Kluyveromyces lactis: one gene and its partners. Each later gene encodes a partner of the first gene's protein in a complex. Links are inferred from orthologs where the notes say so. Each region holds a gene or a part of one and is shown in the gene's direction. Other genes may lie near its edges. The genes, in order: POP5, POP8 and POP7.

Evidence for each region.
Region 2: POP5 (region 1) and POP8 share a complex: the UniProt entries of both Saccharomyces cerevisiae proteins name them as parts of the nuclear RNase P and RNase MRP complex. The link is inferred for Kluyveromyces lactis from reciprocal best matches to the Saccharomyces cerevisiae genes POP5 and POP8.
Region 3: POP5 (region 1) and POP7 share a complex: the UniProt entries of both Saccharomyces cerevisiae proteins name them as parts of the nuclear RNase P and RNase MRP complex. The link is inferred for Kluyveromyces lactis from reciprocal best matches to the Saccharomyces cerevisiae genes POP5 and POP7.

Annotation. Positions count from the first base shown.
Region 1 is NC_006042.1:216,825-225,173, forward strand, and holds POP5 (RNA-binding protein POP5), read left to right. Parts: upstream 1-7,204; coding exon 7,205-7,849; downstream 7,850-8,349. Other genes in the region: KRE5 (Kre5p), read right to left, coding at 1-3,267; ALA1 (alanine--tRNA ligase), read left to right, coding at 4,024-6,894; mRNA splicing protein PRP45, read right to left, coding at 7,925-8,349. UniProt on the Saccharomyces cerevisiae protein: Component of ribonuclease P, a protein complex that generates mature tRNA molecules by cleaving their 5'-ends. Also a component of RNase MRP, which cleaves pre-rRNA sequences.
Region 2 is NC_006041.1:920,186-928,643, reverse strand, and holds POP8 (ribonuclease P), read left to right. Parts: upstream 1-4,305; coding exon 4,306-4,722; downstream 4,723-8,458. Other genes in the region: PEP1 (type I sorting receptor), read left to right, coding at 1-3,943; DNA-(apurinic or apyrimidinic site) lyase APN2, read right to left, coding at 4,788-6,287; RFT1 (glycolipid translocation protein), read right to left, coding at 6,559-8,229. UniProt on the Saccharomyces cerevisiae protein: Component of ribonuclease P, a protein complex that generates mature tRNA molecules by cleaving their 5'-ends. Also a component of RNase MRP, which cleaves pre-rRNA sequences.
Region 3 is NC_006041.1:2,187,420-2,195,873, forward strand, and holds POP7 (ribonuclease P/MRP protein subunit POP7), read left to right. Parts: upstream 1-1,486; coding exon 1,487-1,897; downstream 1,898-8,454. Other genes in the region: PEX32 (Pex32p), read right to left, coding at 96-1,244; KLLA0_E24685g (uncharacterized protein), read right to left, coding at 1,976-2,530; DAL3 (ureidoglycolate hydrolase), read right to left, coding at 2,701-3,321; TYR1 (prephenate dehydrogenase (NADP(+))), read left to right, coding at 3,940-5,277; UBS1 (Ubs1p), read right to left, coding at 5,510-6,241; Arf family GTPase ARL1, read left to right, coding at 7,135-7,686. UniProt on the Saccharomyces cerevisiae protein: Component of ribonuclease P, a protein complex that generates mature tRNA molecules by cleaving their 5'-ends. Also a component of RNase MRP, which cleaves pre-rRNA sequences.

The DNA of each region.
Region 1 (8,349 bases):
CCAAGTATACGTTAACAAATGATAGTCAACTGAAGCTGGCATTTCTCGGACAATTAACTTAGGTCTCTGAGCTAAAATATAAAATTTTGCTTTGTCGCCAATTTCTTTCTTGACTCTTTCAATTCTTTTAACGGCCACACTTTCTTGTCCATCATGCACGACAACCATTACATTCACTCTGTCGTCTTTTTCGTTCATAATTTCCGCAGTAGTCTTTCTCACTTTGACATGAATTTGGGTAGGCAATGAGTTATCAACATCAAAGGATTCTACTTCAATATAATTTGCTTCTGCCATTGTCGACAATGCTGTAATCTCGTAACTTGAATCACAGTTTTCCAACTTCAATCCCTTTTGCAAGCTAGGTAATGATAATTGGACATATCCAAATGATTTCATCGAAAGACCTTTATCGATAACATTTCCTGCGTTGTCCATTAGCTGCAAGCATACACCGGCCAGACCATCAATAATGTCAATTGACACATCGTCACCTTCATCGAATACATGGGCTTCAATAATTATTGATTTGTCATCTGGGTTGATGTTATGAGGATAATCAAATTCTGATAAGAATCCATTATCTGATATCCCGGTTGAAGCATTGTAGAATCTATGCACTGGGTTCAATGTTAGATTGGCTGTCGGTACCAATGCAACCTCTGTTTTTACAAATGGCAAGTCTTTCAATAAACTTGACAAATATAACAACCGCTGTGTCCTTTCTTCAACAGGATCTAGCAATAGAGTGACGTTGATTACAGATTGATCAGAGCGGCTAGTGATAGTGTATTCTTCTAACTCAGAAAGACTCACTCGAGGCATTGAGGATTCTGTAGTGTAAGGTATTCCGTTATTCAATACAAGGTAACCATGATGTACATATTTGATAACAGCAGCAGTAAGTTCCTCGATAGCAGATGGGTTCATTATGTTTTCGTCCAACGCCCCGATGTGATGTAGTGTCTTCAATACATCAAGGGTGCGCGAAGAATGATGAACCAAAATGTTGTGCCATAATTCAACAGAATACAAATCGTCATCCGTATTGAAAAATTTACCATTGATTACTGCAAATGGTTTACGAAGAGCTTTAATAGAAATATCCGGCAACCAAGAGCTTAAAACATTCAAAAAGGGATCAACAATGAAATTAACAGTCGTCTTAGAGGCTATTTTACCTGACAACTTCCCTGTGCTGAATTCCATTTTAAAATTATCCCAACTCTTTGACAAATCACCAACGTGAACTAGTCTGAAACTAACACTTTTGTGATTGTTCCTTAGTAGGGCTCGTATCTTCTGAACAGCGCTATAAGAGTTGAAATCATCGACTAAAGTGATAGTATGAATGGGTGAAGTCTTTTGATTCGGATCAGAAAAGATTATCGTGCGACTACCGAGTACATGTAGAGCGCGGTTGTTAACTCTGGTGAAGGTTTCATCCAGCATACGGTTAGGTATGTATACCGGATTTTTCAATGTCAAGGACCTATGGTGAAGAAGTTGCCTTACTGATAGGTTAGATGAATCACCCAAGGCCTGCAATTCTGACTTCAAATACTCGATATCGGCGGATAATATCCTTGAAGTATGAATCTTCCATGCTTTAGCTTGGAATGGTAAAAGTACACCATTCATTGCTATGCAAGTATCTGCTATTTTGAATCTCTCAAGGTATTCATCATACGCACTGCCTTTGTGTTTTGTCTGAGGTTGAATTTTTTCAGAGTGTCCAATAAGAGTTCTTAAGTAATCTATTATCGACTGCAGAGGCTTGTCAGATTCCGACTTCAATTTATAAATCATATCGACAACAGAGTTCGATCCAGAGGAAGAAAATGGAATTAAGCCCAACCTGATAGGATATCCAGTTTCCATCTGATCGATTGCTTGTAACAATGATCCTACAGCACCGTCATCTTTGAATTGTGTCATATCGTCAAAGTTAATAAAAAAGATGAGCTCATTCCAATTCTGCTTGATGCTAGGAATTGGTTCGAAATCAGATGGTTCCAAAAACGCCATATTGTCTTCAGGCAGGTCCTTATATAGCTCATCCTTCTCGAAATTATTGAAGAAAACTACAGCTTCAGAGAAACCTGGAGTACGATAGAAATCGTAACGATTTTTGTCAAAGTAAGCCGTATATGAGTAGCCAACCGTGAAATATTTCAAAAAGTTCTCTAACTCAGCACCGGGGAACTTACTTAGTTTTTCTTTTAAATCATTAACCCTAGACCATTCCTTAGCGAGGATAGCAGGTAAAGTAGTTTCATCTAATTCTGACAATCTCCACTGTTGGCCGTTGATGTACAAGCCAAGTAATTCATGAGAGATTTTTCTCTTATTGAAGTCTTTAACAATATTCTTTGCTGGTGTTGTATCAATGTTGTCTTTAGAAGCAATGACTGGTGCCACTGCAGGAAAATTGTAGGACAACGACTTGAAATATTCAAAGAAAGAATCGAAATCATGATCTTCATTGAATTTCTCCAACAATAACGCGGTGAATTTCATATCCAAATCTTCTAGTTCCTTTTGATCCAAGTATTTCAATTTGACTGGATCCTTAATTTTTAGATCAGAATCATCGATTACAAGGTGAACATTTGCCTTTTGGTCCCAGTTTTTGTCCGATAATGTGGCACTCAATGCATATTCTGGTGTATCACCTATGATACAGGTCGGTCTCCAAGTCATTCTAATCTTACCAAACTTAGCCTCATTATAAAGATTTCTGTTGAAATCAGCAAACTCTAAATCTGTTTCACAACCGTAAAGTACCACAATTGGAGCAGAAGCATTAGTTCCGATTGCAATCTCTCTATCTTTTAACACATCGAAATCTGGAACAAGAGCTTGAGCATCCAATTCAGAGGTCTTGAAATAAAATGAGTCATCGCTCTTAGAGTATATTTTGCCATTCAAAACAAAGCAAGTTTCTTTGAATTCATCATCAATTGGTGCAATCTGTACATATTTTGAAATGGCACCGGACAAGCCTTCGACTTGTTGTACTTTCTCAGCCGAAGCTGAACTTATAGATTCCTCAATTCCTTCATCGTCATCTTCATCTTCTTCATCCTCTTCTTCATCACTTAACGTTATTTTTCTATACAACTGCATCCATTGGTCGGTAGACAATGCATCGTAATCAACAAGGGACGCTGAAAGCCATCTCTTACCAATTCCTTCATTAAATGCTTGCGTTATGTGCAGGACAGTTAACAGCAAAAACACAATTCGTAACCTAAACAAGACCATCGTGGTTTTGCACCGTTTTAGATCAGGAAACTCGTTCACTCAATCTTGTTGGAACACAAACTGTCAAATTGTGCTGATCTAAATACTCTCTTTCATCTCGAATTCTGATCTTAATAGAAGGCAAATATAAACCTTAAAAATCTTGCGGGATCTTCTGCCAATAAAAAACTTTTAAGCTGGAAATATGAAGCATGTTAAAGTCCTACACATGTTATAGAATTTGTAAACCTCACCATTACTATAATGCTACTCCCTAAGCTAGTACTATGGGATTTTACGCATGTCTATCAGATCCACTGGCAAGGTAGCTTCAGCCACTTTCGAATGAAGAGTCACGTGAGTGTATTTCTCACGTGACTCCTAGTTTCTTTCTTCATTGGCTCTATCTATCTGTGAAACGGAAAGCGTTGAGAAAAATATCAAAAAGTGATTTGAAGATATTCTGGAATTTTTGAACAATTAACTTATACATAAAAACGGATGAGTAGAAGGCTTGGACTCAGGTTCAGAGGCTACTACTGCTCTTTCGTTTGTTGTATTCGAAAGTTATTGAAAACCTTAGGCGGCATATTCAGAGAACTAGGGGGATTTCTGAACTTTTTTCCCGTTGTTTCAAGTCGTTAATTTAATCATTACTCATCGTTTTTAGCGGTTTGATTAAATCTTCCCGTTCTTGATTAGAATTTGCTTTCGAAGACGTCCTTAGGAAAGGTGTTTCGCGTTAATTGCAGGTTATTTTCCAGTTTTACAGCTAGGATGACGATTGGTGATAAGTCTAAGTGGACGGCTGCCAACGTTCGTTCCACATTTTTGGACTATTTCAAGTCTAAGGGCCATACTTTTGTTCCATCTTCACCCGTGATTCCATTCGATGATCCAACTTTATTGTTTGCCAATGCTGGTATGAATCAGTATAAGCCAATCTTTTTGGGAACAGTTGACCCATCCAGTGATTTTTACAAGTTGAAGAGAGCTACGAACTCTCAAAAGTGTATCAGAGCCGGTGGTAAGCATAATGATTTGGAAGATGTTGGTAGAGACTCCTACCACCACACTTTCTTTGAAATGTTGGGTAACTGGTCGTTCGGTGACTATTTCAAGAAGGAAGCTATTGAATACTCTTGGGAATTGTTGACCAAAGTCTACGGTATTCCAGGTGATAGATTGTACGTCACTTATTTCGAAGGTGACGAAAAATTGGGTTTGGAACCAGACTTCGAAGCTCGTGATTTGTGGAAATCCGTTGGCGTCAAGGATGATCATATCTTGCCAGGTAATGCCAAGGATAACTTTTGGGAAATGGGTGAACAAGGTCCATGTGGTCCTTGTTCTGAAGTTCATTATGACAGAATTGGTGGTAGAAACGCTGCTCATCTTGTTAATCAAGACGATCCAGATGTGTTGGAAATTTGGAATAACGTTTTTATTCAATTCAACAGAGAACAAGATCGTTCTCTAAGAGCTCTACCGGCTAAACATGTCGATACTGGTATGGGTTTCGAAAGATTGGTGTCCGTTTTGCACGATGTTAGATCTAATTACGACACCGACGTTTTCGAACCTTTGTTCAACCGTATCCAAGAAATCACTGGGGTCAGATCATACACTGGTAAATTTGGTGCTGAGGATACGGATGGTATTGACACCGCTTACAGAGTCTTGGCTGATCATGTTCGTACGTTAACTTTCGCCTTGGCTGATGGTGGTGTTCCTAACAACGAAGGTAGAGGTTACGTTTTGAGAAGAATTTTGAGACGTGGTGCACGTTACGCTAGAAAGTACATGAACTACCCTATAGGAAACTTTTTTTCACAATTGTCTGTCACTTTAATCGAACAAGTTAAGGATATGTTCCCAGAAGTCGCTAGAGACCCATCTTATTTGTTCGAAATTTTGGACGAAGAAGAAGCTTCTTTCGCAAAAACTTTAGACCGTGGTGAAAAATTGTTTGAAAAGTATGCTGAAGATGCTTTGAAGAAAGCAGACAAGACTTTGGATGGTAAACAAGTCTGGAGACTATACGATACTTATGGTTTCCCTGTCGATTTGACTGAATTGATGGCTGAAGAACAGGGCTTAAAGATCGATACAATCGGTTTTGAGAAAGCTAAACAGGAATCATACGAGGCTTCTAAGAAAGGTGGTAAGAAGGGTGCATCTGATTTGATCAGATTAAACGTTCATGAATTGTCTCAACTTAACGGTGATAATGTCGCTAAGACTGATGATTCATCTAAGTATGGGACCGAAAACGTTGAAGCCACTATTTTGAGAATATATGATGGTGAGAAATTCGTTGACTCTATGACCGAAATTGGTAAGCAATATGGTGTTATTCTAGACAAAACTTGTTTTTATGCCGAACAAGGTGGTCAAGAGTTCGATACAGGTAAGTTGGTTATCGATGGTGAAGCAGAATTCAACGTCGACAATGTTCAAGCCTACAACGGTTATGTTTTCCATACCGGTTCTCTTGGTGACGGTAAACTATCTATTGGTGACAGTATAATTGCTTCTTACGAAGAGCTACGTCGTCATCCCCTAAGAAATAATCACACTGGTACACATATCTTGAACTTTGCTCTGAAAGAAGTGTTGGGTAATGATGTCGATCAAAAGGGTTCCTTAGTTGCACCGGAAAAGTTGAGATTCGATTTCTCGCACAAGAGAGCCTTATCTTATGAGGAATTAGTGGAGGTTGAAAAACTCTCCAATGAAAAGATCAGGGACAACTTAACTGTGTATTACAAGGAAGTTGCCTTAGATTTGGCTAAGACTATCTCTTCTGTCCGTGCTGTCTTCGGTGAAACTTACCCGGATCCAGTTCGTGTTGTTTCTATTGGTAAGGCCGTTGAAGAAGTCCTAGAGAACCCAACTAGTGAAGAATGGCAAAAGTACTCCATTGAATTCTGTGGTGGTACCCATGTTGCTAAGACTAGTGACATCAAAGAATTCGTCATTGTTGAAGAAAGTGGTATTGCCAAAGGTATCAGAAGAATTGTTGCGGTTTCTGGACCTGAAGCCTATGAAGTACAAAGAATTGCTACTGAATTTGATGGCGAATTAACTGCAGTTGAAAAACTGCCTTTCTCCCCTTTAAAGGCCCAAAAGCTAAAGGAGCTAGGTGTCAGACTAGGCCAACTAACTATTTCCGTTATCACCAAAACTGACTTGAAGGATAAATTCAACAAAATTGAAAAGGAAGTTAAAGATGAACTGAAATCTAGAGCTAAGAAGGAAATTAAACAAACTCTGGACGACGTCAAACATCACTTTGATGCTAACAAAGAGTCTTCTTTCTACGTCAAGCATATTGACATTCCAACTAATGCTAAGGCCATCACTGAAGCTATCAATCACATTAAAACAAACTCGAAGGACAAGTCTATCTACTTATTCACTTGTAATGAACCAGACGGAAAGGTTGCTCACGGATGCTACATATCTGACGCAGCAATTGCTCAAGGTGTTGATGGTTCTAGTTTAGCCAAAACAGTATCCTCTAGCATCGGTGGTAAAGCTGGTGGTAAGGGAAATGTCTTCCAAGGTATGGGTGACAAACCAAACGGTATTGACTCCGCTGTTGCGGAAGTTGAAGCCTTGCTAAAAGAGAGACTGACTATCTAATTTCACCCGCTTTAATATAAACTCTTTGGCTACGATTGGCTTGAAGTTAATCTCAAGTCTCAAAGTTTTGTAAATATATGCATGAGAACTCTGATTTTCAACTCAACTATATATGATATTACTTGAAAGATATGCTACGCCTTTTGTTATATAGAGAATGAATTATCTGATATTTACACAATCTGTTAGTTAAGGTTGGTGATGCGGCAATAATGCATAAAATATTGGACATGCTTGGCGTATTCTCGTTCTTCTTCTGTGACTTGAATGCGACAAACCAAAAAAAAAAAAAAAAAAAAAAAAAAGAGAGATGCTTCACATTACAAGATTTAGAGTTATGATGGAGATCAACTGTGAAGGAATCAAGATTTTGATAAAGGACGGTTGTGCAACAACGTTTATTCGGGGGTTTCATCCTACTATTAATAAAACTTGCTGTCATAATAGGCAAAATAGAAGAAATCCAATGGTTCGTTTAAAGAGCAGATACATTCTTTTCGAAGTACTATATCCAGATGTAGATGATGAGTACGAAACAGTGCCAGATATAACCAAGAAGGACATTTTAACCACGCATCACAAAGTATCACCAAATACTATCAGTCCGAGAAATATTTTGCAGGAACTACGAAAACAATTACAGGTGAATTTCGGGGACTATGGCTTGGGAAAGGCTACGGCTTTGTTACAGATCAAATACTTTTCGAATAGAACATCAACCGGTATAATACGATGTGGCCATGATGACCATCAGTACGTAATAATGGCACTTGCTTTGATGAACCAGATTGAATCTGTTGGGCCCATCATAATGAATCCAATAAAAGTTAGCGGAACTATTAAAAAAGTTGAGTTATTTGCTATCAGAAGAAGTCACCGTTTGAACCGAATACTTCTGACAGATGATAGGAATGATGAGTTTTCTTCAATCACTGACGATGAAAATAATGACTGATTCGCTGATTTCATTCAATTAGTAGTGCTTGAATATTATTACATACAATTATATCAGTATATCGGTATCGCACAATTAAGAAGTATGAGGCTTCTTACGCACTTGAAGACCGTATTCTCTGGCATGCTCGTTATCTTCCTCATTCTGTTCCGCATTTTTGCCATCATCAGCAGCGGAGAACTCTACCGGTCCAGTTCTTCCTTTCTTATTTGAGAGTCGATCAACAATATCTTCGTTTTCTAAGTTAGAACCAGTAGTTGGCCTGTAAATGTTGTCAATCTGGCTATTATTGAACAATGGATGGTCGAAAATTTGATTTGAAGATGATGCCACAGATGATGCCGCTTTCTTGAACAAGCGGGAATCGTACTGAAGATCTGGGGTCTCGGTGGCTTTTGCAGCATTTAAAACAACTTTATCAGAAACATCTCTTCCTTGTTGGTACGCCAATCGTCTTAACTTTTCTGCTGTGCTCATTTTATTCGACCGTTCCAATTCGC
Region 2 (8,458 bases), on another chromosome or scaffold:
TAAGAGTTTGAGTCCGTTTGCCGAACAATTACAGGATTTGTCTCCAGCATCAACGTTCATTTCCGATAATCATCTATTTATCTTGACATTATCAGATCGGTTCAATGAAAATTCTGCCGCAAATCTCTGGAGATTGGAAGATGATAGCACTGATAAGTTTGAACAAATATCCCTTGGAACACAGATTCGTAAATCGCTAATGGACGTCAACGAAATAGATGGGAGAGCAATTATTACCATCTACCATAGAGAAAGAAATAAGGATGGTGATAATAATGATGACGAAGATAAATCTCCTTTCGAAGATATTTTTTCCGGTTCCATTGAAGCGTTGATTTCAGATTCATACGGTAAGAACTTCAGACATTTGAGTTTTGATGAACAAAAAGCTTCTTCGTTGACTTTATCGACGTCTATCTTTGTTAAGAAGACAATGTTCGCAACTTGGACCAATACTATGCGGGATTTTGGATTTTTTGATTTTAGATCGAAGGTGTCATTTGATTTGGGCAATACGTGGAGTAAGCTCAAAGTAAGTGATCCCGAAGGTAAATGGAATTACAACTGCGATATCAATAGCGACTCCAATGACTGTGGTTTCCAAATGTTCATCGTTTATGGTGGAGGTGTGGAAGGTGATTCAGATATTTTCAGCCCTGGTATTATAGCCGCCATTGGTGATGTATATGAAGAAAATCCCTCTGGTGATTTCTTAAAAATGGGTACCTTTATTTCAAGAGACGATGGTTCGACCTGGGAAAAGGTACTCGATTTCCCGAGTAGAGTTGTAATGGGTGACTACGGTAATATCATTCTTGCAGTGCCGTTTGATCCAGAATCTGATAAAGACCCGCAGAGCGAATTCTACTTCTCCTTAGACCAAGGGAAAACATTCCAAGAGTACCAACTTGACAAATCGTTCTACCCAACTGAATTATTACCATCTGCTTTGGACGGATCCGGAAATTCATTCATGTTAGTCGGTACAATTATGTCTGAAGATTACCAGAATCTAGAGTCCGTGTCCTACGTCGTTGATTTCTCCGATGCATTCAAGGGTGCCAGCTGTAAAACTTCTGATATGGAAGATTGGTATTACTCTAACGGTCAATGTGTTGACGGTACTATTCTCAAATTCCGTAGAAGAAAGCAAGATGCTCAATGTCTAATTAAGACCACTTACAAAGATCTCACTTTCGAGGAAGAATTGTGTGGCTGTAGCGAACTAGACTACGAATGCGCTGATGATTTCTCCATCGATTCAGCTGGTAAATGCGTACCAGATTTTTCAAAAGCATCTCTCATGGAAAAATGTGAAAGTAAAAAGAGTATTCAATTGGAACCTAAGAAAATATCAAAAACAACTAAATGTAAGAGACCACAAAATATCATAAAAGAGGAGATATCGTGCGCTGCTGTACCTGCCCCATCTAATGTAAAAGTTACCGAAAACAAATTTTCATCGATATTCAAATCGTATCAATACTTTGACACATTCGTACGGGAATCAATTCTTTTCAGGACAGACAAAAGTGAAGCATATGTGTCTCACGATGGTGGTCAAAATATAAAGCAAATTCAAACTGGCGGTGAAGATATTTTAGAGATTAATTTCAACCCCTTCTTCAACTCATCTGCATATCTATTTGGTAAAAACAAAAACTTATTCGCAACACATGATTACGGGCTTTCATTTAAAGTTACCGAGCTTCCTGCAGGAAGACAGTTGGGTTTCCCATTATCCTTCCATGCTAAAGATATTCAGACTTTCATTTACTACGGCGGTGAAAGTTGCGAGTCTTTTTTCGATCCTAACTGCCATGCTGTAGCATACATTACTAGAGATGGAGGGGCATCTTTCGAAAAGCTTTTGGAAGGAGCCTCAAATTGTGAATTCTTGGAGTCAGCTGTAGAAAGTCCAAGAGTAGAAAACGGCATTGTTTGTATGGTAAAAGACAAATCTACCGGTGCAAGAAGTTACGTGTCCTCTACAGACTATTTCAAAACCCAAACAGTTCTCTATTCTGATATTTTAGGATTCATGTCCACTGGTGGCTATATTGTAGTAGCAGTGTCGCATGGTGAACGTCAACTACGTGCATACCTAACCATAGATGGTGTGGAATATTCAGAAGCAGTTTTACCTGCAGACCTTGATTCTTATGAACAAAAAGCCTTCACAGTCCTTGGATCACAGGAAGGAGCAATATTCATGCATATGACGACTAACCTTGATAAGAATGAAGAATTCGGAGCATTACTAAAGTCTAATACCGAAGGTACATCTTTTGTCATTTTAGAAAGAGCAGTCAACAGAAACAGCTTTGGCTTTGTTGATTTTGAAAAAATTCAAGGTCTTGAAGGGATAATATTGATCAACACTGTTGCAAATGCGAAGGAAATAGTTGAAAGCAAAGATAAAACTTCACAGAAGAAATTAAAAACTAAAATAACCTTCAATGATGGTGCTGATTGGACGTACATCAAGCCACCATCTGTGGATTCTGAAGGTAAAAAGTATAATTGCAACCCAAAAAACCTAGAAAAGTGTTCCTTAAACCTTCATGGATTCACAGAACGAAAAGATGTTAGGGATACATATTCTTCTGGCTCAGCTATTGGCTATATGTTTGCCTTGGGTAATGTTGGAGAATATTTGACTCCGGTGAGCGAAGCATCTACTTTTATGACCAACGATGGCGGTATATCTTGGTCTGAGGTAAAGAAAGGGTCTTATCAATGGGAGTATGGTGATCACGGAAGTGTGTTGGTGCTTGTCAAAGATAACGAACCAACTGATACAGTCAGCTACTCCATAAACGGTGGAAAGACTTGGAAAGACTACCAGTTCGCTTCAGAAAAGATAAATGTATATGATTTGGTCACTGTCCCAAGAGACTCTGCAATGAGATTCTTAGTAATTGGATCCTCAGTAAATGTTCGTGGCGAAGAAACAAGAACTTATACGTTGGACTTTGTGGACATGTTTTCACGTCAATGTCAATATTCGAAAGATGATCTAAAAGATTTCGAATATATTTCATTAAGTCACCCTAACACCAAGGAGTGCTTGTTTGGACACAAGGCAAAATATTTACGTAAAAAGTCTGACGATTGTTATGTCGGCATGGCACCTCTCGAAGATAAATTTAGGATTTTTGCAAACTGTTCCTGTACCAGAAATGACTATGAATGTGATTATAATTTCATGCGTGTGTCTGATGGTACTTGCAAGTTAATCGATGGCTTAAAACCAGCAGATCCTAAAGACATCTGCTCCAAAGACAATTCCTTAATCGAATACTTCGAACCAACTGGCTATAGAAAGATCGCTCTTTCTACCTGCAATGGCGGATTGATGCTCGCTAACTCTGATAGTCCTCACCCTTGTCCAGGAAAAGAGAAAGAGTTCAAAGAGAAGTATAAAGTAAACCATACATCATTCTTAGCAATATGGATCTTTGCTGTTCTGATATTCACTGGCATGCTGTCATTCATTTATTATAGAGGTATAAAGAGGAATGGTGGGTTTGCTCGTTTCGGTGAAATTAGATTAGGAGATGATGACCTCATAGAAGAGAACAATACCGATAGAGCTGTAAACACAGTTCTTAGAAACGGAGTGTTCCTCTTCTCTAATGTTTACACCGGTCTTCAATATTTCGGACACCAAGTGGGGAATTTCTTCAAGAGAGGCTTAAGCAGATTTGGAAACACAACAGGTCCAAGTTATCAATCCCTCTTACACGATCAATTTTTAGATGACGCAGATGATTTACTTGTTGGACACGATGAAGATGCTGACGATCTTGCAAGTTTCATCGAGAATGAGGGTAATTTTGAAATCGGTAACGACGAAGAAGTTGACCTCTCATCTGATACACCAACCCATGCACCATATTCTGATAACCCAGAGGAAGCGAATCCTCATGAGTCAACTTAAAACATCAACACTTACCTAGTTTATGTTTTTGAAGATACTCGAACTCTTTAACATTATACATAATTTTCGTATAGAAAATGGATTTTAATTTAACTTTCGGGTAGTTCACTACTAACAGCTTATAATCTTTATAAAGTAAACATAGAGGCATATATGAGTGTCATACCTTGAAATTTTTTCAGTCTTTCTGATCAGTTAATCTTTGAATAAACCTTTTTCAATGTGAAAATGTGAAATTTAAACCTGGATAAGAATAACTAACAATACAAGAGAAGCGAATATTGATGTCGGCTCGATTCCGGTAGTATGTGTTCAGAGTTTGTCTAATCTCTCATCTTTTCGAAAAGGATCAAGGAACAAACATGGCTAAGTTCAAACCAGAATGGTTTTATTTTAAACTAAAGGTAACGTCGCATGATTCGGAAAAAGACAATGAGATCCAAGTGGATAAAGTAACTTGGCTTCAAATGTTGAATACAGCTTTGAAAAGATCTCACGGTGTATTTGGCGAAGCAATTGAGTACGAATTATTATACGTGGATAATTTGGATACTATTGCAAAGGTAAGCGTCAATGATACTGATATTTTTACTACTGCCATAAGCACTTACATAGCGAGCGATGAGTTGGTCGGTACCTCACTAATAATAAATGTGCTCGAACAAAGCAATAACCTGTCCGGATTGACCGTTCATGAGGATGATAGAATATGGTTCAAGAAATTGGTAGAATCCGAAGCCGAGATAGAAGCTGAATCCAAAGAAAAAGAAAGATTATAAACTAAATCATAAATATTGATGCATAAAATAATAATAACCCAGAATGGTGGAACACGGAAGAACGATTACTTCCATTGAAAGAAGCCACAAGATGCTTCTGGATCATCTTTTTCGCCTTTTGATCGATTGCACACCCAAAACTTTTTACCAAAGCTTTTGTCAGTCTTAGAGACTCGAAGAACAGCTTCTTCACCATGTTCACAAACTGGTGCTTTTCCAAGCATTTCCTCGAAAGCCTTCATATGTGCACTCTTGACGCGCGACTGAGGCTGTATCGATACATTTTTGTTTTGATCTTTGGAAACTGTTGCTGAGGCCAGAGCATTCATGCCGTTATATTGCTTGACATTCAGTGGTTTTACTACTTTGCCCGTGCTTGTCGTGGAAGGACTGGTGCTTTTGCGATTGGCCTTGCGGAACATATCTAAAATGTTCCCATGGTTCAAGAAATATCTCGTGGCAGCCTCAAATTTTGGCTTATTGAAGCTTTCATGTTTAAGTTCGAGGTTATCTACCTTGATATCAGCAAAAACTGGACAGTGATCTGATCCCATAATAGTGGTCAAAATATCACCGTCCGTAATATTATCCTTTAATCCTTTGCTGACAAAGATATAATCAACACGAGAACCGTAATTGACCGGCCGAGTATTTAACAACGTATTCCAGACTGTATACATTTTTAGTCTGTCCCTACCCTGTATCTTTCGCGTAGAATCTACTAAAATACCCTCTTGTGCATATTTTGAAATTATGGAATCGCATAGCATTGTATTAAGCAACCTTCTTCCAATGCGAGATGGGTCCATGATGAACTGAACGCATTTCTCATTAAACTTTTCTTCAATTTCAGAGCCCGTCTTCTGTTGAGATAAAGAAATAGATGATTCATCTAGTGCCGTAGCATGATCTTTCAAATCTCTGCAAACATTTATGTCCCCCATTAGCACGACATGCTTCCCTAACCCGTGCAAATTTCTTATCCGCTTGAAGAGTAGCTTTAAAAACGTCAGCCGAGACAATTCTCCTTCTTCGGTTTGTGACGAGTTAGCAGGGCAGTATGTTGAAAAGATAACAACATTACAAGCCAATTCGATGATGATACATCTTCCCTCGCTGTCAATATCAAGAAGGTCGTTTTCATCAGCAAAATCCAAACCAGTATATCCACCAATCCCTTCTGAACTCTCACGATAGGATATGCCATTAGCTTGCACTCGGAGAAGCCCCGTAATTCCTTCCTCTGCCTTAATGACCTTTAAGTGATGTCTTAATGGATCATCTTCTGATGGTGTACGAATCCAGCATCCAACCCCACTGTACCCTTTCCTCTTTTGAGATATAGTAATATATGATTGGTAACCTTCCACTTTACCCCATTTAGATATACTTTTAGCATCTATCTTCAATTCCTGTAGTGTCACTATATCTGCTTGAAACAACTCGAATGCTAGTTTCAATGAATTGTTCATCCTACTAAAAGGATAATGTTGGAAAAGAGTTCTTACTCCATTCACATTGAAAGTTACGAACCGTACTCCAGTTTTATCTTTCACTTCATCCATAATCAATGGTTCAGGCACATAACTCTCTGGTAATCTTCTATATAGAGCAGTTGCACGTATATAGATATGGCTCACTCTCTTTTTCTATTAAGCATCTGTGCTGCAGTTCTTGTTATCTAATTGAATTATTGGATCTTAATAGCAAGCATCTTACAAATAATGCACATCGACCGTAAGATGAAGATTATATGTAAAAATGAGACCTGTATATAAATCATGAACTAACTGAATTTGAGATATGTCGTTAAAAAGGAAACTAACTAGTTACTAATTATGCCGCATAGGTTTTTGCAGCTAGCAGTTCTGATATTAAGCTCTTTTCTTTGTAAATCACCAAAATAAGTAACAATAATGCCAAAATGACGTTAATAAGTAGTTCCCGCATATTTTCCACATAGCCTATGAAATACCAATCTAGGGCACCGATTATGGCTGCGATGAGAGCAACGTTCTTGAAGGTGGAAATGTTTGGCAAGATTGATTGAGTAGTTTCAGTTGACGATTCTTTTAGTAGGTAATGGTAAAATTTATGAATAAAGTTACCACAGTATGCTATTCTCAAAGCCATGTTCAAAATGTTACTGACAATGAGCCCTTCTAGTGATAGGTCAAAATATTCTATGAATAACCAACAGTTGAACAAGAAAATGCCTGAGAAGAGCATCATGACGTATGAATGTTTGAAAATCTGATCACCGGAGGCAACACTTTGGAAAAACGCCTCGAAGATACCATTCAAGGAAAGGAATGGAATATAGAAGCAGTAAGTTCTTATTGTTTCTAAAAATGAGGTACTTGACCACTTAGATCCAATGACAAATTTCAATAAGTATGACGAATTGATTGGTCCGAATATTATAATGAAGAGTGATAAGTACAGATAAAACTTGGTTAGGTCAATCAAGACCTTCATAGATAACCATAAGTTCTTCTTCGACGATACGCTTAACAAGCGCGCTAAAAACAAGCGTAATGCCTCCTCAATCGGAGCAAACAATAGTCTTGTTATCAAAGAGCCGTAATTTGAAAGAAGAGAGTATATACCTTGCTCTTCCACCGTGCACAACGAATTTATGATTAGCTTATCACCTTCTGTTAACAAATGCTTGAAGCATAGCTGGAAATACACTTTTTTGAAGTGCTGAACGGTATCATTTTGGAAATAGTATGACTCTTGTCTTGTTTCAGGCCTGATTTTTGTCAACTTGTAGCTATAACGCTCTCCAGTAGTATAGACCTCTGAGTAATAATTGTAGGAGTAACATGCAAGTAAAGTCATCGCGTGAACGAGCTTACCAACTGCAAATGCAAAAATAGCGATCCCTTCTTGTTTGTAATCATCATGCAACTCTAGCCCAACTCCGTTCACCATTTTCTCAAACCAGACAACTATAATAAAGTTCGCAACACATGCAAAGGTGACACCTAAACTCTCATATTTGGATCTGATAAAGTGATTGAGTAAATATTGATGTACCAAGTAGAACGGTTCACTGACCAACTCAATCAATATACTAAGCCATATAAGGAATATGGAGGCTTTGAAGTATGGAAGGTCAATGAAGTACGAATTTAGATTAGAGTATTGCCATGAAATTAGGATAATAGACAATGGTAACCCAATCACAAACGGTATATAACCAAAATTAATCAGGGATTGCAAAGTTCTCGTATCCTCACCATCCTCTACTTTTTCCAATTTGCCGCTATCTGTTGTAGATTTGATCCGTAAGGTGGAGATCCGAATCGATTCTCTACTGAAGAATAGTACTGTAGAAAGTAAAAACTCTAGGAAAGAGGTAATACCAAAAATTCGGGGGGATAAATAACGCACTAGCAAAGTGTTCAACAAGAAATTAACCCCTTTACTCAACGTTTGTCCCAACATTAGAAATAAGACTCCATTGGCGAATTTGTTCATATGCTCATTCTTGACATTCATTCTTACCAAATGATATGAAGTAACTTTGCACCCTTCTTAAAGAACAATGCTGAGCACTAGCACCTACAGCAGTATAAACCAATCCTATCGATGAGCACTGGCCGTTTATTGGATCTTATTAGTGTCTTTCTTTGCCAATGTATACATTGAAAAATCTCGATCTTTGACGTTCAGCAAATTCAAAATCATCAACAAACCTTAAAATACCCATTCATGACTATTAACTACA
Region 3 (8,454 bases), on another chromosome or scaffold:
ACTACGTAGATATACATATATATATATATATATATGTGGTTACACTCTCGAGCTGTACTTCGACTGCCAAAAACGGAGTTTCCACTTGACCAACTTCAGGTTAGTATCTTGAACGCTCTTCGTTTCCAAGTTCTTCTACGAGTGAAGCATGCAATCGAATCGTTCGCACCTAATAAATTCCATTTTGCATCACAGTATTGCCAGCTGCCGGGTACCCAAGTAGATTCAATCCAGATCCAATCGGAAGGTAGTTCTTCGTGGAACTTCCATGGTGTTACAGATGGAGTTTGGGTGAATGAATTAGAGAAGTGAGCTCTTTCGTAAGGTAGCAATTTTGGGGTCCAGCCCTCTTGCTTCCATTTTCTCTCGTTTTCATCAACGTTGTATTCGATGATCTTGACGTGTACGTAATCGGATTCTGGATCAATCTTAGTTGGATCCTGAAGGATTAACATTTGTAGTTGAACCTGTAGCTCTTGGCCCTTCAAGCCTTGTAGAGATTTAGGGAATGGAATGACTTGACTCTCACAAATCACCTTGTATTGTTGAAAGTTGGTTTCCAGTTTGGATTCCGATGGTACGCTGTCCCATATATAATAGTAACATCGCCTTATCCACAAATACCTCCATAGGAGTTTCATCGTGCTCTGGTAATACACTGAATGGAACACGGAGACAAGGCTAATGACAAGCACTGAGTATGTTCGTACATCCAAAAAACTAACGGTAATTAAATGAATTACTGTCAGAAGAGCCACTATCTTAAAGGTTTGTGAATTGATATTAGTAAGTTTTCTTACCTTGTCTGTACCGAGGACTTCATTTTGAACCGTTTTAAGCTTCTCAAGAACAGAGTCCAAAGTATGAGTGATTTCATCTATTGTGGGTGCTTCGCTCTGTTCAAGCTCTTTCCATAGCGTATAATTGTAATAAAACATAGTGCCAGCAAGAATGAATACGCTTGTGTACCCCAACCATATATCAAACGCTTGGAAAAGTAAGGAAGTATTCTTCGGTACAACCAACGCTGTTGAGTAACATAGCAATATAATATATATCAACTGTAAGGAAACATCGTCAATATGCCACATAAGTTTATCCAATAACTGGTCCAGCAGTAGGAGCCAAGGATATAATCTATAAAGACATGCAATTGTAATGGGCTCTAAGTCTTGTGGTTTATATGGGGGATTAACTGATTTCGATTTAGAAACAAATCTGACATGAAGTTTCTTGTTGCTCATGGTACATCTGAACAATATTGTATGCACTAATAACCGATTTTGAGCTTATCCAGACGCCGTTTTCTTTTCTTGCCCTTTACTTGTTATTTGCACAATCGGTATTGTAATCTATATTTCCTTTTAATTAAAGTCTCTGATTTTGAATTGGCCTGAAGAAGTGAACAAGAGAAACGGCTTTTCTAAGAAGACAAGAGAAGCAATCTGCTTCGTGGGCGTTCGAAAAAACCTTACAACACCACGTTATGGGAAATACTAAGGATTTAAATCAGTTACGAAGAAAACTTCCGACAGTGAAGACGTTTTCTCATGATAAAATTAAAACTACAATCTACGTGAAGAGCTCATCGCCTTACATTTCCGTGGTGAAACGAACCAACAGGTTTCTTTCCAACCTGCATAGACGTAAAAGTGAATACATTACACTACTGGGCATGGGTAAAGCTGTTTTCAAAACTCTATCAGTTGCTGCACACTTCAATACAATGGGTGATTACAAAGTTGACATATTAACGAAGACATTAGATGTTTTGGATGAGGTATTCGCTGATGATGGTAAAGATGAAGATGGAAATGAGGTTTCAACAGAGGACAGGGAAACGGAACTGACAAAGCGTACTTTGAGCGGTGTTGAAGTGCGTATAAGTCCTGTATAATTGCGTAATCAATATTAGTATGGGAAGCGCACATTAATATAGAGTTACATAGATATTTCAGTGTAGACATATCAAATACTAGCGGGACGGTTGCAATTCCAACCTTGCTTTTGACTTTTCGATCATGTATCTGAGTTCTTCTAACTCTCTGCGTATCTTGTTTTTCTTATTGAACGGCTCGAACTTATGCAATAACGGCTCTGATACTTTTAAACACTTCATGTAATCTCTTTCGTAATAATATTTCTGAGCATAAGAGACCATTTTCTGTCGTACTTGCTTCAATGCATAGTCAAAACTCTCATCTTCAATCAACAGATCAAAATCTTCCATCTTCAAGGCATCTTCCTCAGTTCTCGTTGGACCTTTCTCCTCCAAGAAATACTGTCTAAGTTGTTCCTTATATTCTTCCGCGCTCTGACCTCTTCTTACTTTCGTTTTACCTGTTGTTTTCCTAACCAGTACCTCTCCTGTATTACTATCGATGGTGATCGGTTTTGTCAATGCTTGGTTCCTTCTACCACCCTTTGTAAGGTCCGCATTATCACTTGGAGTCACAACCGATTTTGAACCAGCCGAAGCAATGTGAAGGCCAGAAAAACTCGAAACCAGTTCTGACATTCTTCGAAGCATAACACTGTATCACTTCTCTTGCCTCAGATGCACTTCAACGGTTTCATGCACACTGCTTCCTTTACACTTGCGATTTGATGCGATGTGGACTGAAATTACTCATTCTTTTTTTTTTTTTCAGTCAAAGCTATGACGATGAACTTAAATAAGATGTAGAACATATATATATCTCAGTAGTACAGATTCAAGGACAGTTGACTATCGTAGAAACGCTCTTCTAAATCATACTGAAGCTGATTATGGTCGTGTAACTCATTTATTATTACTGTAAAGTCGAGGTACTCTTCTTCACCAACCACTATCATGGGGGCATGCCAGACTCCAGCACCGTAAGTAACAGCTTGGTTTGATTTACATAAAAATGCTTGTAGTGTAAGTAAATCAGGTTCACCGTTTTTGTCGGGTAATGCGGTCACCACAAGATAAGCATATCCGCTTTTGATATCTCTGCCCATGGGAATGAAAGTTTGAGTAGAGAACGGATGTTTCTCTAGAACTTTGATTTCATGCTGATACTTTTTTAAAGAACCGTCGGAATCAACTAAAGCGAATCTTTTCTGTAGAGCGCCTTTGGGAAAGCACCGGAATAGGTTACAACTTGGATTCTTGACTTTTAAACTCTGAGGGAACTGGTTCTCTATATGGCTGACTTGTAATAGCTTAATGGCAGTTCCCTGGTTGGCATTCTTTTGAGATGAGTCAAGCCTTCTGACTTCTTCATCTGGAGACACAATTGAACCGAATTCCTCAAAAGCAGTAATAGATAAGGGAACGACAGGTATACATTGCATTGTTAATTGGGTAAGGCACCATATATCGACCGCCTGGCGTTACACATTTAAAATACACCGCGCTCAAAACTTCTTCCTATTCCCATTGAAATACAGTTACATATATATAATATATAGCTCGCGCTAAACTTTCTTACTTTTGATTAGCAACCACAACTGTGATTGATGACATTACTGTCGGTCAATTCCGTTACCAATACACTTACAGTGAAAAAAAAAAGCATACTACAGCAGCCCACTACTGACAGTAATACATCTAATCAAACTTTCGTACTACTTTAGATACTATGTGTATATAGTTTTGAGACGAAGTAGTGTCTGGTCAACGCATCATCGGCATTTAGATCTTTATCTTGACTTATAGTTCAATTTTATGTAACTGAACCAATTCCAAGATTTTTAAAGTATCTTCTTATAAACACAACCCAATTTATGATCAATACTAGTCATAAGGAAAAAACTAGACAAAACCAGAATTCAAGAGTCTGTCACTTGTTCATTATTATCAGTGTATACCATACCTAGTGTCTCATCAAACATTCTGGACTTCTTTTTGGACCACCTTCTTCGACAAGACTCATTGGGATTCATCTAATACAAGGCGAACACAGATTCAAAATGATAGGTACAGACGAGCAAATTGCTAAGTGGAAACATGAAAAAACCATCGGTATCATTGGATTAGGTGATATGGGACTTCTATATGCTACTAGGTTTTCCAAAGCTGGTTGGCGGGTTATTTGCTGCGATAGACCAGAATTTTACGAAGAATTGAAAGAAAAGTATTCCTCAGAAAGCTTCAATGTTGTTGAGAATGGTACACTAGTGTCAAGAGCTAGTGATTATATCATTTATTCAGTCGAGGCCGAGAATATCGAAAATATTGTGAAGATGTATGGCGCAGCGTCAAAGGTAGGCTCGATTGTCGGAGGACAAACCAGTTGCAAGAATGCGGAAATCAACGCTTTCGAGAAATATTTACCTTCGGACTGTGAGATTGTATCTGTACACTCATTGCATGGTCCCAAGGTCAATACAGAAGGACAGCCGTTAGTCCTAATAAACCATAGAACTAAATCTCAGGAATCATTTGACTTGGTAGAATCTTTGATGTCTTGTTTGAAGAGCCAACATGTTTATTTATCTTACGAGGAACATGATAAAATTACTGCAGATACCCAAGCAGTAACGCACGCAGCATTCTTAAGTATGGGGGTTGCTTGGTATAAGATACGAATCTACCCATGGACGCTTGGAGTCAATAAGTGGCATGGAAGTCTAGAGAATGTCAAAGTGAATATCTCCTTAAGAATCTATTCTAATAAATGGCATGTATATGCGGGGTTAGCCTTAACAAACCCTGCTGCTCATAAACAAATCACACAATACGCTAAAAGTGCTACCGAGCTTTTTACCCTTTTCGTGGAAGGGAAGAAAGATGAACTTACTAAAAGACTTCAAGTCGCCAAAGATTTTGTATTTGGTAACCACAATGGCTTGTTACTATTACACGATCTAGCTCTTGATGATTACTCATTATCAAAACATGAAAAAGGTGAAGATAACGAAGTGATACCAAACTCTCATTTATCTCTATTAGCAATTGTCGATAGTTGGTACCAATTGGGAATTGATCCCTACGATCATATGATCTGCAGTACTCCTTTATTCAGAATTTTCTTGGGGGTTAGCGAATACTTATTCCTAACAGATGGTTTACTAGAACAGACTATCGATGCTGCGATTAACGTACCAGAGTTCAGAGCGGATGATATGGAATTCGTCATAGCTGCAAGGTCGTGGTCTAATATCGTCTCTTTTGGTAACTTCGAACTCTATAAGAGACAATTTGAAGAGGTACAACAATTTTTCACTCCAATGTTTCCAGAAGCAAATGCTATTGGCAACGAAATGATTAAGACTATTCTTGAGCATTCAAAAAGTAAAAATTTATGATATGTTTACGCTTGATAGATTATGTTATATATGTATATATATGATATACAATGATATACATAAGTACTGTGAGAGAAATTTATTGCTAAAACTTCGATACGATCGGAAGATAAATCCTCACATAATGTGCCATAAACTATATAGACGCCATGCATTAAATTAGAAGGATGATGAAAATAGCTTCATTGGATGGAAAGGTGACTAACTTAATAGTTTCAGAGAAAGTTTTATTTTATCGCCTGCGTTTTCTACTTTCTAAAAAGTCACAATCTTCAGAGGTTTCCAAGTTGTTGAGATTCGGTTCTGTGAGTGGACTCACACTCATAAAAGAGCTCAACCCGGTTCTTTGCCTCTTTCCCCTGTATAACTGTTCCGAACAGTCTTCGTTTGTTATGTGGTTATGGGTATCTACCGGGGTTGGGCTTTTACTATGCAATTTCGGGGAGTTTCTTTTTGTATGATTAGGTTGTGACTGAGCCTGCGTTTGCAAATATTCGTTTACCATCTGAACGTCTGTTTGAGTCACCGAGTAAGACTCGAATAGTCGCGGGGAGAAATTCTTGAACTCCTTTACCATAATTCTGTTCCAAGCCATGGCCAATTTTTTATGATAATCGGTGATATTAGTACAGCGACTATAAATTGATGATAACAAATGCTCATAAAAGGAGCACAACCCATAGTTCAGAAGAACAGGAGAGAGATGATTCAAGCAGATAGTCTTATTCACAGGTATGCAGGGATTAGGTGTCAAACAGTTTAATAGTATGATAGGCTCCCATTCGTTCATAGGCTTGTGGCTTATGAAAACAACACAGTAAAGTTCCAAATCTCGGCTTTCGTCATGTAGTACTATATTCCAGAACTGCAAATTTGATTCTTGTGGCTTGATATGGCATGTAGAGTGCTTATAATGGCTCAAACGTTTCCATTCCCTAAGGAGTTTCCTGTACAACGGATGCATCTTATGTGGATGTGGCCTGCTATTTGAAAGAAAAAAAAGTAGTGAAGAATAACAATTATAGGCAATGGAAAAGCCTTTCCAATAATGATATATTACCACACTTAGTTGGCAATATAGTAGTTAAGATATCCAATAATAATCACGTTACCCTTAGCTTTGCATGCAAAGGTATGCAGTCTTACTGTTTTGTATTTTTACAAATCAGATTAATATATTCTATTATTATTTTTCTCTGATTATCATTTTTGATCTACAAATTCTTCATATATTGTAGAATATGTTTATACAGATAGAAGAAGAAAGAAAATTCAGAGCATTAATCAGTACCGGTATGCCTCATGTGAGCTCTCTGCAGTTACAAACTCGCATATATAAAAAATTGAGATTGAACAAAAAAATACAGCGAGGACAATGTGAACGATACAGACTATATACGCAAGTAATTTTTACTATGTCTAATGGGGTCTCTTTGTTTGTTGTTACCCGGCCACTAAAAGGCCAACTACAATTTTAGTGAAAGGAAAATCTCAGGATCGAGTGATTAATAACACACTGCATTGGTTAGGAGTTATGATTTCATTGTATTTAATATTTCACTCATTACAAAGACATTATCTGATCTTATAGTACGAATACAATAAAATTGTTTACACATCAGGAGACAAACTTACCGCTGTCTGGATCGCTGTTTATTCGTTTATTTGTTTCGAATTTTGGCTGTAACTGGTTCTCAAATAAGAAATATTTTGAACAAGTACTTCCTAATTTTACATATCAACTAGTACAAAAGTTTTGGTTTTAAATTATTAATTGACTTATTAATACACCTTTTCTTTAATTACCAACTACCTTTGAATTGACCGCAGTACAGCAATTACTTATAAAATATCACAATGGGTAACTTCTTTAGTTCTATGTTTGATAGACTATTGGGTGCGGAAAAAGAATTACGTATATTGATATTAGGGCTTGATGGTGCTGGTAAGACGACGATATTGTACAGACTACAGATAGGAGAAGTGATAACTACAAAACCTACCATTGGTTTCAATGTAGAGACGTTAAATTATAAAAACTTGAAACTTAACGTGTGGGATCTAGGTGGACAAACTTCGATTAGACCATACTGGCGTTGTTATTACGCAAACACAGCAGCAGTTATCTTCGTTGTTGACTCTACAGATAAGGACCGTATGAATATAGCTTCGAAGGAATTGCACCTCATGTTGCAAGAAGAAGAATTGCAGGACTCCGCTCTGCTCGTATTTGCCAATAAACAAGATCAACCAGGCGCATTAAGTGCGTCAGAAGTATCAAAGGAGTTGAACTTGGCAGAATTGAAGGATAGAAGCTGGAGTATTGTTGCATCCAGTGCCATTAAGGGCGAAGGGATAACTGAAGGTTTGGATTGGTTAATTGACGTGATTAAGGAAGAACAAATGTAATTGTAGAAGGAATTGAAAACTGCATGTTTTTTAGTGCTTCCGGTCCCATTATATTTATCTACAACTGAAATGCTTTTTTAATTTGACATGACCTAAGATAGTAATAAAAATAAATGACAAAGCTAATAACAAAGTTAAAATTCGAATTGTTTACTTCCTGCCGATGCTGGCGTAATGTCCTATTGAATTCCTTTACACGCTTATTTCAATAGACATTCAATTTTCCCATGCATTTTTATTTCATCTCCAAAATCCTCCACTATTTCGTTTACGTTTGCGTATGCGTGATATAATGTTTTCTCCTATTCAAACCATTCCATCGTGCCCTAGTTTCATTATATATATAGCATATTCATAATTCGCATAATTAAGCAGTCATTATACCATGCAACCACGAATCCTTTAAATGGAACATGGTCTTGCCAACTACCACCATATCATTCAGTATATGATGTATTACTTCGCTCAACGTAAAAAGGTAAATCTCTTTGTTATATATTACAGGTGTACATTACCCCCTCGACGAATATCATATACTGGAAACAAATACCAAAAGCGGTACCTCTTTTTGATTATTATTTGCTATAGTAATAACTACAGGCATATAGCAAAAAAAAAAGTAACCGTTATAAAGATCGTGAATTGAAAAAAAAGTGTGTGTTATTAAAACGATGACAACTTATAAAAAGGTCAAGGGAGGCAAATAACTCAGGCCTGTTTATCATTCATGTTATAAGTATATGAATTGGTACACTTAGGTTTGAGGTT